Linked DNA regions of Callithrix jacchus. The protein of the gene in region 4 interacts with the protein of the main gene of each other region in a pairwise test. Links are inferred from orthologs where the notes say so. Each region holds a gene or a part of one and is shown on either strand. Other genes may lie near its edges. The genes, in order: RAD23B, SYK, TNKS2, USP25 and RAD23A.

The links.
Region 1: the proteins of USP25 (region 4) and RAD23B interact in binary tests that used the Homo sapiens proteins (3 or more experiments, as listed by UniProt). The link is inferred for Callithrix jacchus from reciprocal best matches to the Homo sapiens genes USP25 and RAD23B.
Region 2: the proteins of USP25 (region 4) and SYK interact in binary tests that used the Homo sapiens proteins (3 or more experiments, as listed by UniProt). The link is inferred for Callithrix jacchus from reciprocal best matches to the Homo sapiens genes USP25 and SYK.
Region 3: the proteins of USP25 (region 4) and TNKS2 interact in a two-hybrid assay, tested with the Homo sapiens proteins (2 studies listed by BioGRID and IntAct). The link is inferred for Callithrix jacchus from reciprocal best matches to the Homo sapiens genes USP25 and TNKS2.
Region 5: the proteins of USP25 (region 4) and RAD23A interact in binary tests that used the Homo sapiens proteins (3 or more experiments, as listed by UniProt). The link is inferred for Callithrix jacchus from reciprocal best matches to the Homo sapiens genes USP25 and RAD23A.

Annotation. Positions count from the first base shown.
Region 1 is NC_133502.1:155,652,848-155,656,974, reverse strand, and holds the start of RAD23B (UV excision repair protein RAD23 homolog B), read right to left. Parts: upstream 2,819-4,127; 5' UTR 2,771-2,818; intron 2,720-2,770; exon of another isoform or gene 2,554-2,719; 5' UTR 2,451-2,553; coding exon 2,385-2,450; intron 1-2,384. UniProt on the Homo sapiens protein: Multiubiquitin chain receptor involved in modulation of proteasomal degradation. Binds to polyubiquitin chains.
Region 2 is NC_133502.1:74,857,088-74,860,606, reverse strand, and holds part of SYK (tyrosine-protein kinase SYK), read left to right. Parts: intron 1-646; coding exon 647-807; intron 808-3,519. UniProt on the Homo sapiens protein: Non-receptor tyrosine kinase which mediates signal transduction downstream of a variety of transmembrane receptors including classical immunoreceptors like the B-cell receptor (BCR).
Region 3 is NC_133513.1:84,637,628-84,641,146, forward strand, and holds part of TNKS2 (poly [ADP-ribose] polymerase tankyrase-2), read left to right. Parts: intron 1-1,006; coding exon 1,007-1,163; intron 1,164-1,996; coding exon 1,997-2,059; 3' UTR 2,060-3,519. UniProt on the Homo sapiens protein: Poly-ADP-ribosyltransferase involved in various processes such as Wnt signaling pathway, telomere length and vesicle trafficking.
Region 4 is NC_133522.1:22,892,132-22,895,650, reverse strand, and holds part of USP25 (ubiquitin carboxyl-terminal hydrolase 25), read right to left. Parts: intron 2,034-3,519; coding exon 1,910-2,033; intron 1-1,909. UniProt on the Homo sapiens protein: Deubiquitinating enzyme that hydrolyzes ubiquitin moieties conjugated to substrates and thus, functions in various biological processes including inflammation and immune response.
Region 5 is NC_133523.1:11,771,575-11,774,296, reverse strand, and holds part of RAD23A (UV excision repair protein RAD23 homolog A), read right to left. Parts: intron 2,492-2,722; coding exon 2,413-2,491; intron 2,298-2,412; coding exon 2,164-2,297; intron 1-2,163. UniProt on the Homo sapiens protein: Multiubiquitin chain receptor involved in modulation of proteasomal degradation. Binds to 'Lys-48'-linked polyubiquitin chains in a length-dependent manner and with a lower affinity to 'Lys-63'-linked polyubiquitin chains.

The DNA.
Region 1 (4,127 bases), on a different chromosome or scaffold from region 4:
AACAACTTAGAAATAGGACACTTAGTGTTGCCCCATTAAATAAAATTTTCACTATTTCTTTTCTTACTGCAAGTCTGGGGTGTCGTATCAAAAACAAATATTAATTAAAACCCACTACATAGAATTGAAACAGTTGTCTTGAAAAAATTTCCTAAAGTCATTAAAATAAAAACTGACAAGTCATTAAATGCAAACATTCCATATATCAGAGGAAATGCTTTAATTTCTTGCCTCAGACTAACAATATTAGTTTTTTTATACTAATAGCAACAAAAGTATATTTATATAAATAGCAAAAGCTGTAGAAGCCACTCCCTACAAATGAGCTTTTCAAAAATATTATTTCTAAAAGTATAACATACTGCTTTTCCTTGGAAATAAACTGGAAAATAGCAAAAATAGTTAAGAATTTGTACAAGTTGGGTGGGGAATGGAAAAATAAATAAATATAAGAATCTGTACAAATTCAGATACTGCATTGGCTCTCAGTTAACACTGTATGTGAAAAGTGCCTAAAAAACGCTAAACAAATCTTAAAGAACATAAATACTTTAGTGGAGCTGTTAAAAGAGTCACTGCATAACTTCAATACACCCACAAATATTTACCAAAAAGCCACAATATTTCTTTAGGTTTGAATAATTCTGAAATTAAACTGAGTATTATAAGCTGATTAAGTTATTGGGGCACCATCATTTGTTACCACAAAGAACCAAAAGCAAATAGGCATTTTACGTAGTTTGCCTGAAATCATCAAACAAACCCCATTGTAACTTTCACCCTTCAACTTATTAACGCATATTAAGCAGTAAAGAAATATTCAAGAGGAATTTGATTCTGTTAGTACTGTCAGTCCACAGGGTGTTGTCAATTACTTCTGAGGACACAGAAAAGCTTTTCATGTGTAACTGATATGTCCTGTACCTTTAAGAAGTTAATCACACAGCATACATCTACATATAAATATTTTGAAATCGAATAATTTTGTACAAAAATCGCAAAAAAGTTGGGGGAACTCTCCTTGTTTCTTAAACAATTAAAGATGTGCAAAACTTAAGATTAAATAAGTACAACGTAACGCTGTTGTGTCCTCCATTCAAAAGAATCCACTGTTTAATCAATTCCATTTACTGACCATCAAGTAAATATGTACCATTTAATCCTCACATCTCCGCAAGGCAGCTATTATCCCTACGGTACAGAGGATGAAACTAAGCGTAATTTGCCCAAGGTCATGGCAAGTAAGTTACAAAACCACAAATGGAACTCAGGTTCTACTTAATTAACACCAAAGCCCCTGATCTCCACCCAAAATAGAAAAAACTACTTTAAAAAATAGAGTTGGGCAGGAAACTGCTGGTTTACACTTAGTCTTATGACAATCTTAGCGGTGTATTCCAGAACATAAGCAGTAAATTTACACTCACGGCATTATTAGATTCTTGGCACAAAGCTGTGTCGACCTCAACAGTGTCTCTTTATGCAGTCACAAACACAGAAAAATGTATAACGTGGACTTCCGAAATGTTTAAGACTAACTGCAGGAGGGATTCAAAGTTGTTTTTTTTTTTTTCTTTTTTCCCCCTTGAACATCTACTGTTTGGGGGCCTGGGGAGTGTGGGTGAAGGGTTACAACTCCTAACAATTCCAAGATAAAGCAGAGAACCCGTTACATCTGAAGTTCAGTTTGAGCTTGGAATGGATTTGAAGGCCTCTACTGCTAAAACCTTCACCACCAAAGAAGCCTCAAAGTGCAATCTACACGGGGTGTGGGTTGGGTGGCGGGAGGAAGGCAGCAGAACAATTCACTTACAAATAAAAGGGTTAACAATTCTGGAGGTAAAGGGACAAATTCATTTTCACCACCGCACACCTCTCACTCGGTGATAGACGAAACCTGATGCTTTTTTTTTTTTTTTTCCTTAAAGCTCATCTTCTCGGGTTACCAACTCTGGGATCTAAGCGCCTAACCAGGTCCACACACAAGTAGTGGCGACGCCTACGTCTTCCTCCCCCACCTGTGCACCCACACCAGAAAGCCAGGCACCACGGCCGAAGCTGCCTGGACCTCCCCATCCCCCTCCGGCCCTGCTAGCACAAGCTCCTAGGCCCGGGCCCGCGGGCGTGCGCTCCACGCCATCTGCCCAACCAGGCCTTCGGCGTCCGGTCACTACTTCCCTATTCTGCCACAAAGCCCCCGGCCAAGCCAGGAGGGTCGGCTCTGCCGCACGCCGGCAGGGCACGGGCCGAGACCGAGACGCAGGGCCCTCACCGCACCCTCCGGGGCTTCCCCCGCTGAAGCGCGCCGCCCGGCTCCACTCCCGGATCCTGTCGCTCCCCCCGGCCCGCACGCGGCTGCCCCCGCCCCCGGTCCGCGTGCATACCGTCTCCTCGGGGTCGATGTCTATCTTGAAGGTCTGCTGCTGGAGGGTCTTCAGGGTGACCTGCATGGTGCCGCCGCGCAGCTCTGCTGCCGGGCCTGCGCCGGGTGCTGACCGCTGGGCGGGGTCTGTGGCCTGGCGGGGCCCCGGGGTCGCCCGCGCTCCTCGCGCTCTGGGGAGGAAGACGGTGGGGGTGGGGGCTTGTCACATTCGCCCAGCGGAGCGGCCTCTCCCCCAGCCCGTGCTGCGGCCCGCGCCGCTGCTTCCGCGACTGCGGCCTTCCCCGCGAGCTCGGGCCGCCGTGCCTCCTCACGCGCCGGGCGCCAGCCACTGAGTCTGCAGGAGGCGCGAGGGGCTCTGCGAGGCAAGCAAGGAATCCGCTAGCTCACCACAGGATGGTGGCCGCCATCATCGTGACTCGCCGAGACGTCCCCCTCCCCCACCCGAAAAACCCTGGGGGGGATGGGGCCGGGCGGGCGAAGCGCGCAGGCGTGAGGGGGGTTGCGGCGACGCTTTGCGCAGGCGCGGCAGAGGACTCCACCCCGGAATTGGGGGCGGGGCGGAAGGCGGCTCTGGAATGTCGGCGGCCTGGACCCGGATTGCGCAGGAGCGGCGTTCAGTCGGCGGCCGGGGCTCTCTGGGCTTCCTCTTCGCAGCTATTACAGGAGCATTCTCTCAGTCCGCCGCCCCTCCGCCTCTTTCCAGACTCCGCCCGGCTGCCGAAGTTACGCAATCTGTAGCCCGGGAAGCGCTACGTGGAGAATCGGCCGAGTGGATGCGGAGCCCTGGAGTCGGGGAGTAATGGGGCGGAGTTTAAGTGAAAGGATGGCGGTAACCACAGCTAGGGGCCAGCACCCGCCGGGGGCTCGCTGCGGGACTCAGCCCTGGGATGTAGACTCATTCTTTAATCCCGCCACCACAGGCTCCTGAGCCGGACTGCCCGTGTTCAAATTTTGTTTTCTCTCGCTAGGCTTGGGACATTGGGCCTAAACAGATGGGCCGATTTAGAACGAAAGTCGGCTGGGCGTGGTGGCTCACGCCTGTAATCCCAGCACTTTGGGAAGCCGACGCGGACGGATTACCTGAGGTCGGGAGTTCGAGACCATCCTGGCCAACGTGGTGAAACCCCCGTCTCTACTAAAAATACAAACATTAGCGGGCGCCTGTAGTCCCAGCTACTCAGGAGGCTGAGGCAGGAGAACCGCTTGAACCCTGGAGGCGGAGGTTGAAGTGAGGCGAGATCGCGCCATTGCACTCCAACCTGGGTGACAGTGAGACTCCGTCTCAAATAATGATAGTAATTAAAAAAAATAAAATAAAACAAAGGTCACACCTTGGGGCAGAACTGTCCAGTGGTTCCCCGTCTAGCCCCGAGTTAAAGTCAGAGTTCTTAGAACGGACGCATTAGCCCCTCACCTTTCCCCGCGTTGCCTTACTCTCCCCACTGGTGGAGTCTAGGCTGCCCCCGCCTTAGGGCCTTCCTTTGCACTTGCGGTCGCGGCTCCCCTCTTTAAATTGATGTTGCCTTCTTGGTGAGGTCTGCGCTGGCTGCCTTAAAATCGCAACTTCCTATCTCTGTTATTGTGCTGTTTTCTTCCATAGCGGGTATCCCCTTTTAATTACCGTGTAATGTATGTATCTCTTGTTTCTCATCTTTCTTCCTTTCCTGTAAACCCCAGACTGAAGCTGCACTGCACAGAGGCAAAGATTTTACTTTATCCACCCATGAACATGGCTGGCACACTG
Region 2 (3,519 bases), on a different chromosome or scaffold from region 4:
CTGCCTCAGCCTCCTGAGTAGCTGGGATTACAGGCACACGCCACCATGCCCAGCTAATTTTTTGTATTTTTTTAGTAGAGACGGGGTTTCATCATGTTGACCAGGATGGTCTCGATCTCTTGACCTCGTGATCCACCCACCTCAGCCTGTGTTTTTATTTTTTTGAGACAGAGTCTGACTCTGCTGCCCAGGCTGGAGTTCAGTGGCATGATCTCAGCTCACAGCAACCTCCACTTCCTGGAAGGTTCAAGTAATTCTCCTTCCTCAGCCTCCTGAGTAGATGGAATTACAGGCATGTGCCACTGCACCTGGCTAATTTTTGTATTTTTAGTAGAGACAGGGTTTCACCATGCTGGCCAGGCTGGTCTCAAACTCCTGACCTCAAGTGATCCACCCTCCTTGGTCTCCCGAAGTGCTGGATTGCAAGCACAAGCCACTGTGCCCAGCCATATTCTTTTTATTTATACACTTGAAAGTACTTAAGTAATGTGTAAAGGTCTTTCTGGTTTTATTTATTGAATGAATGAGTGAATAAGGTTTGATCTCGTTTTACCATGCTAGGACTTGAGATAAGTTGGAAATGCCTTCTGCGTCATTTTCATTTTTCCTCAGTATGGTTTACTCTGCTCTGCTCTCCACACTGCAGGGTCAGGCTCTGGAGCAGGCCATCATCAGTCAGAAACCTCAGCTGGAGAAGCTGATCGCCACCACAGCCCATGAAAAAATGCCTTGGTTCCATGGAAGAATCACTCGGGAAGAATCTGAGCAAATTGTCTTGATAGGATCAAAGACAAACGGGAAGTTCCTGTGAGTATTCTGCCTTCCCCTCACCTCCTGCCACCAGACCTATGTGGACAATTGAGAATAGTTCACCTTCCCCATGACTGGCCTCACATGACCCTGGGAAGGGGCCATATATTGTCATTGTCAGGGCTCGACCTCACAGGAAGGCCTTGAGTTGGCCATAAGCAGTGAAGTAGATGGCAGTAGCTGGCACAGTTATCACCAGGGTAGCAGGGAGGCCACTCCAGAGGGTCCGGGTGCCTTCATGCTTCACAATCTCACCAAGGCGGGCCCATACCGGCTCTGCCACATGTGCGGGTCCACGCGCTAGCCCGAGGCCATTGCGGAAAGCAGCGGCGTGGACCCCGCCCCCCGCCCCCACACTGCGCAGCGAAGTCCTTTATTGGGCCGGAAAGGCGGGGAGCTGCTCTAGGAGTGGGGTCCTAGGCTGGTGGCAGCCCTGTCCGTTCTGGCCGGGGCGGGCGGCCAGCTGGCTCGCTACTTGGTGCGTGCCTTCACGTACTCCCAGCCCTCCTTGGAGTACTCGCAGGCCTTAGAGGGGGCCATCTCTTTTTTTTTTTTTTTTTTTTTTTTTAGAAATATGCTTTTATTATCTGCACAGAGATATCACTGCCCCCCTCTAAAGCATCACTATTTGGGGGAAGGAGTCTTGGGGGGGCGATGGGAGGTCCTGAGTCCTGGCTTCCACATACCATATGGGCAGGAAGGCATAGGGTGCATCTCGGTGTACAGACACGGTGACTGTCTGCAGTTTTGCCCAGCGCCCCCTCCTTAGTTGTTCTCTTGACCTAGGTTCTTATTCCACCTTACATTGCAGTTGCCCAGTTATCACCCTATATTTGCCAACCTCCCAAATAATAACTTCCATGGCTTTCTCCCTTGCATTGTCCACAGCTCACTCCCACACCTTCCCGTATTCCCTCCACACCTGCGGGGCTCACCCATGGACTGACAGTGCATAGCACCCCATGCCCAGACCTGGCATCAGGTAGGGCATTAGTGAGAGGAAAGAGCAGAGCTAAGCCTGGGCAGCAAGAGCCAGCTTCAGAATGCATGTTCCTGTGACATTTGTAGAACCTTAGGCTATGGGGAAACGTTCCCCAGGCCCTGCTCCTCTGGGTCTGTGACTGTCTTGAGGAGTCAATGAAAACACACACCATGTGCACAGCACAGCATATGTGGTCATCACGGGTGTAGCTTTCCTTCTTTCTTCCATGCTCTTTTGCCATCATGAGCACCGGCAAAGTCTCCTTGTCAGGGTATCTTATGGTGTTTTTAACAGAGAAAATGTGGGGAAACACCCTGGAAATTTCACCTCTTGGCAAACTTTCATCTCCTACAGAATCTGGCTGGGGTTCTTAGCTGTTGCTGGGTGTGTAAACCTTCCTCTTTGAAGGGTAGTGGGCGTGTTATACTATGAGTGTTTGAATATGGTCATGTGTGCTTGTGTACAGTATGGGTAGTTTGCCACTGTACTGAATACAATGCAGATCTTCCCTGCTTCCAGCACAGGGCAAGGTCTGCGTCCATGAATACAATGTCTCCCAAGGCCAGGTTGCCTAGACATTGGTCCAGATGTGTTTCTTTCATGGGAAATAGAGCTCAAAGTCTCCAGGGAACTCTTGTAAACCCTCACTAGATCCTGTGGCTCCCCTCTCGGTGTGAGTGCATCAGCTCCTGATTCACTGCGGGAGTCTGTCCTATACTCCCCTGTTGGGTAGGGCCAAAGTTGCAGGAAATCCCAGACCTGGTTTTGAATCATCCAAATCTGCCCTATTTGCAGAGAGTTTTACAAAGTGTCCCTTATTTGCAATGAATAGCCACAGCACAGGGTCTTTGGAGTCAGAACTAAATCCCGGTCACTGCTGAATATCCTCAGTGAGCCAGGTGCTGTTTTTCTTCCACTGTTCTTGGGCTCTCATTCAGATTCTCCTAAAGAATGCGCTCATGTCTACTTTCCAATCAACATGTCAGCTTATCTGTCCAGGGACCAACATTACTGGAGTCTGTACTTGCGTGAAACCCTAAGGGCCAGGCACCATTCTGGACTTCGGGAAGGGAGAATTGAGTCAGCAAACACCTGTCCTCGTGGAGTCTGCATTTCAGTGAGAGAAAAGACACTGAACAGTGAGAAAGAACTGCATTTAAGGGCATAGAGACACTGGGGTTGGGGTGCTGGGGCTTTTTAAATGCTGCCTGGGGAGGGAGGGCCTTGCTGCTAGGGAGACCATTGAGCAGAGGCCTGAAGGCAGCAAGAAACCATCCCCGCCCAGGGAATGGCACATTCACCTGCAGTGGCCTTGACTGCACTTGGATGCATACACGGCATACACTAAATGTCCAGTCATCTATGCAAACTCTTCCCATCCCTGTATCACAGCTGAACCATGACCTCTGCAAGTGAGTCATTCTTCTGCAGGTGAGAAGGCCAGGCAGGTCCCTCTTATCCTTCCCTTCTGTTCTTCAGTCTGCAGGACGTGTGTTTATTTCTACTCTGTGGCTCTGAATATACAGAGTGAGAGTCACCGTCTGATCATAAAAGGATTCACACTAGGCTTTTGCTTTTATGAAATGACAGACTTAAATAAAGAATAACTGTTTCACAGAGGGGGTTGGAAATTTATTTTTGCATTGCAAGCCATAAACTAATCAAGAGGATTTTACTAGTTTGGTGCGTAATACGGGTCAACAAAACCCCAGCAGTTACTCTTCACG
Region 3 (3,519 bases), on a different chromosome or scaffold from region 4:
CCTCTCTCTTCTTTGGAAGATAGAACCACCAACTAGTCTACCAAAATCTCCTGTTATCTTCTAAAAAGAAACAGTGACGCAATACCAAAAGGTTGTTTGAAACTAAGAAAGGCCAATCACATGCCTGAGAGAAGTGGGAGGGTAATCTACTGAAATTGGTCGGAAGGAGAGACCTATCTAAGGAAGTAACATTTCAGCTGAAGTCTGAGAATTGAGTGGGTGTCAGCGAGTGGAAGAGTGGTAAAATAGATACCATTCCAATGGTGGTGAAAATTATATGGATGGGGACCATTAGTAAAGGAAGTTTGGCCTTTGTGAAGAAAAGAAAAAAACTAATGTGCATGGGGCATAATGAACATAAAATGAGATCAGAGAAACTGGAGCCACTGTGCAGAATTTGGATTTTCTCTGAAGTACAGTGAGCAGCCTCTAAAAGGTTTTAAGCAGAAAAGTGACTTGATCTAATTTTTATTTATTTTAATTACATGAATGGGAAAGATATGGACAGGAATTGGAGTAGAAACAGAAGACTGTTTTAGAAGCCATTGTATGATAGTCCAGGGAAAAATTTCAGTGATTAGACATAATGGTGACAGTAGAATTAAGAAAAGTAAATGGATTTCAAATATATTTTGAAGGTAAAATCAACTTAATTAGATATGTGTCCAACTTTGCAAGCCACTTGATGGAAGGTCCTTAAGCCCTCTTCCCACTTGCCCAGTGACTCGTGTGTTTGCTAAGATATAAACAAGGTGGTAGAGTCTGCATCTCTATAGGGTTATTACAATTTTTAAGGTAGTTAAAATAAGGACTAAGGTGACAAATTATTTCATTAATAAGAGTAGTAGAAGAAATTCTTAAAAAGTTCTTTTAGGGGTGAAATGATAAAAACAATCATAAATATTTATGTATAAATAAATTTGTAAAACTTATGCCATGCCCACAGATTGTCATATTTATGTGTCAAATTTGCCTTCAGGGTGATCTTTTCCTTTTCATGTTATAGGCAGCTGCTCTTTTGCCGGGTAACCTTGGGAAAGTCTTTCCTGCAGTTCAGTGCAATGAAAATGGCACATTCTCCTCCAGGTCATCACTCAGTCACTGGTAGACCCAGTGTAAATGGCCTAGCATTAGCTGAATATGTTATTTACAGAGGAGAACAGGTAATACAGTTTTATTTGTTTATCTTCAAAAATGCTGGAGAGGCATACTTTAACTTTTTACTAATCCCTTGAATTGACAAGACATATTATTGCCTTAAGAACTGGATTTTTTTTTAATTTTATTTGGAAATAATTTCAGACTTGAAAAGTTACAAAAATAGTAAAGAGAATCCCCTAATAACCTTTACCTAGATTTCCTAAATGTTAATATTTTATCATTCTCTTTTTTTCTCCTTTATCATTCTTCCTTCCCTGTTTATGTATACATATTTTTTTGTGAACTGTTTGAGAGTAATTTGCAGGGCATGCCCCTTTACCATTAACTGCTTCCATGTAAATTTCCTAAAAACAAGAATATTCCCTTATATTTATCAAAATCAGGAAAATGCCATCGAGGTAATTATATCTGACCTACAGACTTTATTCAAATTTTGTCAATTGTACCGGATTATTTTAGCTCTTATAAATGATTGAAATCTTGTATTTAACAGTTAGCCTGTCTGTAGCAAAGAAGTATATAATTGTGTCTTGCTGTCAGTGGCATAGATCCAGCCAAAAGTAGATCTAGAGCAGTGTTCTGAATTGCGGGTAGGTATTGGAATCACCTCAGTTACTAAAATCAGACATGAACTTAGTATTCATCCTAGACTCACTGATTGAAAATCGAAAGGATTGTAGTCAGGATAAAGATGTTTTGAGAAAATGTCCCTAGATGATTCTGATCTACAACACTAATTTAGAGCCTCCTCCCTAACGTTAGGAATACTTACAGGAAGTCTATTTGTCTTTCAAGAAAATTTGTGTACCGTTATTTGAATTTCTTTCTCTTCCAGGCTTATCCTGAGTATTTAATTACTTACCAGATTATGAGACCTGAAGGTATGGTTGATGGATAAATAGTTGTTTTAAGAAACTAATTCCACTGAACCTAAAATCATCAAAGCAGCAGTGGCCTCTTAAGTTTTACTCCTTTGCTGAAAAAAAAAAAATCATCTTGCCCCACAAGCCTATAGCAAAAGGATAAAAATGTGAAAGAAGTTTAACATTCTGACTTGATAAAGCTTTAATAATGTACAGTGTTTTCTAAATATTTTCTGTTTTTCAGCACTTTAACAGATGCCATTCCAGGTTAAACTGGGTTTGTCTGTACTAAATTATAAACAGAGTTAACTTGAACCTTTTATACATTATTCATTGATTCTAACAGAAACTGTAATGCCCTCAACAGCTCGTTTTACTAATACAGTACTGTGTTCTTTAAAACACAGCATTTACACTGAATGCAATTTCATTTGTAAAACTGTAAATAAGAGCTTTTGTACTAGCCCAATATTTATTTACATTGCTTTGTAATATAAATCTGTTTTAGAACTGCAGCGGTTTACAAAGTTTTTTCATATGTATTGTTCATCTGTACTTCATCTTGCATCATCATGATTGAGTGATCTTTACATTTGATTCCAGACGACGCTATGTTGAGTTGTTAGTTGGGAAAGATTGATTTATCAGATTTAATTTGCTGATGGGAGCTTTTATCTGTCATTAGAAATCTTTCTCATAGAACTTATGAATATGCTGAAGATTTAATTTGTGATACTTTTGTATGTATAAGACACATTCCAAAGAGCTCTAACTATGATAGGTCCGATTACTAAAGAAGCTTCTCTACTGGCCTCAATTTCTGGTTTCATGTTGGAAAATTTTCTAAAGTCATTCTGTGAAAATTAGAGCAAAGTGCTCCTGTTTTTTAGAGAAACTAAATCTTGCTGTTAAATAATTACTGTGTTCTTTTCATGGAACTTAAGTAAAATGTTACATTTCAAGGTGGGGAAGGATAATCCTAAATCATTTCCCAATGTATTCTAATTACCTTAAATCTAAAGGGAAAAAAATAGCCAACAAGACTGGGTAGTTTTTTATCGTAAGTATTTTTTTTTCCATTCTTTTTTACTTGGTTTTATTGCTATGTTTATGGCCAAACTATACATCATGGGCAAACTCAACCCAGAACTATAAACTGTAGTTGTCTCAGTCCCTCCAGGCTTCCTGAATGGGCTAGTACAGTGAAACAGGTGCTACTTGCTCCTGGGTTGCCTCTCCATGATGTTACGCCCAATTGGAAATACACTCTCAGTTTGTACACCATATGCTGACTAGGCCTGTGTTCAGTTTGGCAGCTATAGAAGGAAATGCTCCCATAAAATGCCATTCCTATTTTCTAATATAAAACTCTTTTCCAGGAAGCACGCTTAAGCATCTTGTTACAGAGACGTATATGCATTACGGCTTGGTGGTCTATTTTATTTGTTGACTGTAGCTCCCTCCAAAGTCGAGGAAAGATCTTTACTCACTTAGT
Region 4 (3,519 bases):
GTCCACCTTGGCCATGAATCAATTACCGAATTGATATGGTTAGGCTTTCTGTCCCCACCCAAATCTTATCTTGAATTGTAATCCCCAGGTATTGAGGAAGAAACCTGGTGGGAGGTAATGAGGTCACGGGGGCAGTTTCCCCCATGCTGTTCTTGTGACAGGGAGTGAGGCTCACAAGATCTCACAGTATTATAAGCATCTGGCATTTCCCCTGCTTGCACTTCTCTCTCCTGCTGCCATGGGAAGAAGGTCCTTGCTTCCCCTTCATCTTCCTCCATGGGTGCTGACGCCACCCCAGCCATGTGGAACTGTGAGTCAATTAAACCTCTTTCCTTTATAAACCACCCCATCTTGTGTAGTATCTTTAGAGCAGTATGAGAACGGACTAGTACACCAATCTTGAATAAAATAGCTAAATCTCTTGTTTTCACTTTCTTTACATTAAGAGTAGGGTATTATTTTATATTCCATCCATAGGGTTTAAGAGAATAAAATGAGCTAAGTCTTCAAGTATCTACTATAATTTTTGGAAGTATGCATTAAAAGATACATAAAATTTAATAAGTTTAATGTTAAATTCACTGAATCAAAGACTGTTCTAGAAATATCTTAAATATAACATGTTCAAAGCCAGCCTTGTTCCTATTAGATTACCCAATACTAAATGAAAAACTAGAAAGTTTGGCAGCTTTGATTCTTCCATTTCCTTCTTCCCACTCACCCAACAGCTATGACATGCCCTCATTTCATTTCCTCCACCATCATACCCACTGTACTACCTGAGTTGAGGCCCTCACCCTCCATCACTTGACTTTTCCCTCTAAGGTTACTGACATCAATCTACTTCTTTCTTATCCAGCCTCTAGTATGCTATTATTTTTATCAGAATTCTTTTCTGAAAACCTCATCATGCCAAACTTATACTGGTGCAAATTCATTTGAATGTCCTGTAAGTTTCTTTATCGTCTGACATCAACAAGTATTGCCAGTTTCATTACTTCCACCTAACCCCACTTCCTCATAACCTGGCTAGCCACAATGAATTTATCTCGATTTTCTGTTACGTACTCTATCATTAATAAAACTCCTATTTATCCATCAAGATCCAGATCAGGGTTTATCTTCTCTCTTAAGGTTCTTCACAAATATTTCAGGCATATCATTTTGCATATTTCTTATAATGGCAATTATTCCAGACACGACGATCATTTCTGTATGTTTCCTACCAGACTGAGTTTTCTGAGGACAGGAAGTGCATCTGACTCATGTTTGTATCCCTCAGAATCTGACACTCTATAAATATGTAATATGAAAAAACCTGAAAGGAACATTAAAGTAATCTTTATGAGGTTTCATTTAAATTCCGATGAAAAATAACCAAGTGTGGCTGGGTTATTAACAAAAAATGATGAGAAATTTTATACCATTTTTTGAATGTTTCAAAGGAACCATCAAGTGTTTGTTGTATTTATGTTTAAAATCAGCTATACTATTCTTATGCCTCAAAATTCAATTTTTAAGTTAAATAGAAATTACTCTCATACATTCCATGCATATTCTTATAGACTTACATAAAGCTTTTTTTAAGGCTGATATATGCATCCATTACTCTCCCACCAAAAAATGCAGTGGTAGTGGGATGAAGAAATGTAAATATATGAATGTAAACAATCTGATGCTATTTTAAGAACATTTCTCATTTATCACCTACAGGACTTGGGATTTATGAAGAGAAAAAAGTTAAGTACTGAGGGTACTTTGCCATCTGAAGGGAAAAGAACCAGTTTATAGACATCACCATATTCTTATCCCATCAGAATTTATGGAGTCAGTCACTTATATATGAGTCTGGAAAATTTGCCCAATGTAAAACAAAATGATAAGATCATACTATATGCATTCAACTTACTAGTAAACATTCTCTCCTATAATGTGATATCAATTCTTCATCATGTCCTCTGTATAAGCCTTTAGACAAGAGTTCTTTGTTATTCTGATAAGCACAGATGAGGAACAGCAAGGAATCTATATAACTTAAAAATTAAAAAGAAACATATGGCATTAGTATTTCACCTTTGTAGAAACAAAGTCAGCTACAATTATAAAACATTTTAAGTATAAGCTTCAGTTTTGAGTACCTACATTATAATAAAAAATATCATCTGATGCAATATATGCCTGAGAGCACCTTTTTAGCAACAGCAACATCTAAAACCAGGAGACAGTTGTATCTTAAAAGTACAAAATAAAATAGGAGCTACAAATTAAGCAAAAAACTGGGAAAAGAGGCAGTAACTGATAAATTCAGGTAGTTCTGTCTTCCTTGGTATTTATATTCCTGGTGACTTCCATTTAAACTCCAAATTGAAGCTAATGTGAAAGTCAGCAACCTACTTGTTTAACACAACGTCACAGGTAAAGTAAAAACTCAGGTTACCTTGTTTTATGATCACAAACATCATTTAGTTTGTTCAATGACTACTTAGGTTCTTTTCTATGTGCAGACAGGTGTAGTAACTGAGAAAAAGGTTAAAAGGGTAAAAAAAAAAAATAAGAATATCTAAAGGAGATAGAGGAAGTGGAAAAATGAAAGACTGCTTCTAAATCTGGGAAACCTAATGGAATAAAGCAAAAACAAAAAGCCCCCAAACATAAAAAAGCTGATGGAGTTAGGCCTATGTGTTATACTAAGTCTAGATATTATGAAGTTCAAATTAGGTTTTAAAAAGGGAAGAAAACAGGCCAGGCATAGTGGCTCATGCCTGTAATTCCAACACTTTGGGAGGTGGTGTGAGAGGATTAGTTGAGGCTAGGAGTTCAAGACCACCCTGGCCTATATAGTGAGATCCTCGTCTCTAAAAAAACATTTAAAAAAATTAGCTGGGCCTTTCAGTACATGCCTGTAGTACCAGCTACTTGGGAGGCTGAAGTGGGAGGACTTCCTGAGCTGAGAAGTTAGTGGCTGTAGTGAGCTATGATCACACCACTGCACTCCAGCCGGGGCAGCAGAGCAAGACCCAACTCAAAAATACAAAACAAAACAAAAATGGAAGAGAAAAATATATAATAAAGAATTACTTTTACCTCCAAACGAATTATCCTTCTAACATGTAAGAGTAATATGGAAAATGTAAAATTTAAAAAATAAAGTATTGTAAAGAAACACAATTTTAAACTCTATAATTACTTAATTCATGTACTTAGACACAAAATGAATCCATTTCACACCCCAAACGTTAAATGTAAAATTATTCAAAAATGAATGTATACATTCATGGCAAACCAAATTATACACCTGAAGGTGTCATGATAAATAAGTTTACTTACTTTTACTTACTTACTTACTTACTTACTTACTTATTTATTTATTTATTTTTGAGACGGAGTTTTGCTCTTGTTGCCCCGGCTGGAGTGCAATGGCGTGATCTCGGCTCACCGCAACCTCCGCCTCCTGGGTTCAAGCAATTCTCCTGCCTCAGCCTCCCAAGTAGCTGGGAATACAGGTGCGCGCCACCATGC
Region 5 (2,722 bases), on a different chromosome or scaffold from region 4:
TCCCCCGAACCAAAAACTGTGAACTCATCTGCGTGTTGGATTTGGGTATGTGGAAGTTCATTTGTTTGTTTTCGTTTCTATTCTTTTTAAGACAGAGTCTCACTCTGTCACCCAGGCTGGGGTGCAGTGGGGCAATCTCGGTTCACTGCAATTTCTGTCTCCTGGGTTCAAGCAATTCTCATGCCTCAACCTTCGAAACAGCTGGGACTACAGTGGCCTGCCACCATGCTCAGCTACTTTTTTAGTAGAGACAGGATTTCACCATGTTGGCCAGGCTGGTCTCAAACTCCTGACCTCAACTGGTCTGCCCACTGGTCTCCCAAAGTGCTGGGATTACAGGTGTGGGCGCCACTGTGCCCAGCCTGGGTATCTGGAAGCTCTGATACAACTCTCTCTACTCTTGTCTACATCTGACCATTTTCACATTAAAGAAAGTGTTGGCCGTGCTCAGTGGCTCAAGCCGGTAATCCCAGCACTTTGGGAGGCCGAGGCGGGTGGATCATGAGGTCAAGAGATCGAGACCATCCTGGTCAACATGGTGAAACACCATCTCTACTAAAAATACAAAAAATTAGCTGGGCATGGTGGCGCGTGCCTGTAGTCTCAGCTACTCAGGAGGCTGAGGCAGGAGAATTGCCTGAACCCAGGAGGCGGAGGTTGCGCCATTGCACTCCAGCCTGGGTAACAATAGTGAAACTCCGTCTCAAAAAAAAAAAAAAAAAAAAAAGAAAAGAAAAGAGTTTTTCAGTCAATGGACTGTGGTACTGTGGAGTGGCAGAGGCCCTGGAGAAGCCTGCCAGGGAGCTGGAGTGCAGGGAGGGGCTGGATGGGGAGAAGAGACAGGACAAGGGGAGGGACCTCAGCTGGCCCCCACGGCCTGAGGCTGAAGCAACCCCAGGCTGGTCCTTGCAGAGATGGGGGAGAACTGGGGAAGTCTGTTCAAAATCTTAGAAGTCTAGTCTAGAGAGCACTCTGGGCCGGGCGCGGGGGCTCACGCCTGTAATCTCAGCACTTTGGGAGGCTGAGGCGGGCAGATCCTGAGGTCAGGAGATGAAGACCATCCTGGCCAACATGGTGAAACCTCATCTCTACTAAAATACAAAAAAATTAGCCAGGTGTGGTAGCGCACACCTGTAGTCCCAGCTGCTCAGGAGGCTGAGGCAGGAGAATCACTTGAATCCAGGTGGCAGAGGATGCCATGGGCCAAGATCTGCCACCGCAACAGAGCAAGACTCTGTCTCGGGGCAGGGGGTGGGGGGAAGCACTTTGATGGACAGATTAAGCCAACCATGGAGTATGGCACTGAGAGAGACTTGAGCTGGTTATATAGATTTGGGGGTCCTCAGGCCAGGCATGATGGCTTACGCCTGTAATCTAAGCACTTTGGAGGCCAAGGAGGGCGGATCACCTGAGGTCAGGAGTTCAAGACCAGCCTGACCAACATGGTGAAACCCCATCTTTATAAAAATATATATATTTAAAAAAAAAAAAAAGATTTGGGAGTCCCCATACAGACTGAAGGCCCCAGGACACTATGAGGGAGGACTGAGTGCAGATGAAGAACAGGACCGGGCAGGAGAAGCTGGCAAGGGGCTAAGAAATGAGAGAAGGGGCAGACAGCAGGGTCTTGGGTCAAGACAGGTGGGCACTTCACAGAGGACCCAGAGGAACCTGCACTCAGAGGCCCACGCCCCTACTCTTCCTGTGAACATTCAAAGGCCAAGGTTGAGCCTCACTGAGCACAGAAGTCCCAGAGCCAACTGGGACACAGCTGTCCTGGGTGATGTCATGCCACCTTACAGACATTTACGTAGTGCCATCTGTATGTGGAGCCAGAGCCAGAGCCCCAGCCCAGGACCCTGAGGCAGCAGGCAGACACACACTCTACCAGCTGTGTGGCCCTGGGAATGACAGGCTGTTCTAAGCTTCTAGTGTCTTCTTCTGCAGGAGGTGATGTTGACAGCACCCACACCTCACAAGGCAGTTCGGAAGACTAAGAAACCGTGGGGGTCGACAGGTCACAGGAAGCATGGGGGTGTGGGGGAAGAATGCGCTTAGTCCTGCTTTCCAGGATTAGAACGACTTCTGTATGTTATGGACTCTGGTGCCCGCAGGGAAGGGAAATGGTGGCTGCCCTGGTTCCCTCTGCCCCTGGGACCACACCTGCAAAAGCTGAGGGTTCTCCTGGCCCAGCTGTTGGAGCAGAGCAGGCAGCAGTGCAGGGTTCTGCTGAATCACCTGCCGCATGTTCTGGAACTGGGGCTGGTCCCGCAGGAACTCCAGGGGGTTCTCTCCTGCTGGTAGTAGGAAGGGGTGCAGTCAGACACTGCACTGGGCTCCCAGGAGCACTGCGGGGTGGAGTGTGGTGTGAGTCAGGTACCTGGAGGGCAGATGCCGCACGTGCACACCCACCTGCTTCCGTGGCCGGCTGCTCGGATACCTGGCTCTCCTGGACAGAACCGTGTTCTGGCTCGGGGCTCCCAGGAATTCCCTGTCAGGGGTCCTGTTTAGTTCTAATGCACAGAGCTCCTGTTGCCACCCTCCTCCATGCCCTGGCAGGACACAGCTGAGGCGTTGGCCCTGCCCTCCGGAGGCCCCCCCATCGCTCACATCCAGCCTCCTGTGGGACAGCGTTAGCGGCTGCAATCACTACCCAAAGGCTTTTCTGGGCAGATTTTGCCTCTCCAACTGCCCATGAGGGCAGTGAAGCCCGTGGACTTGG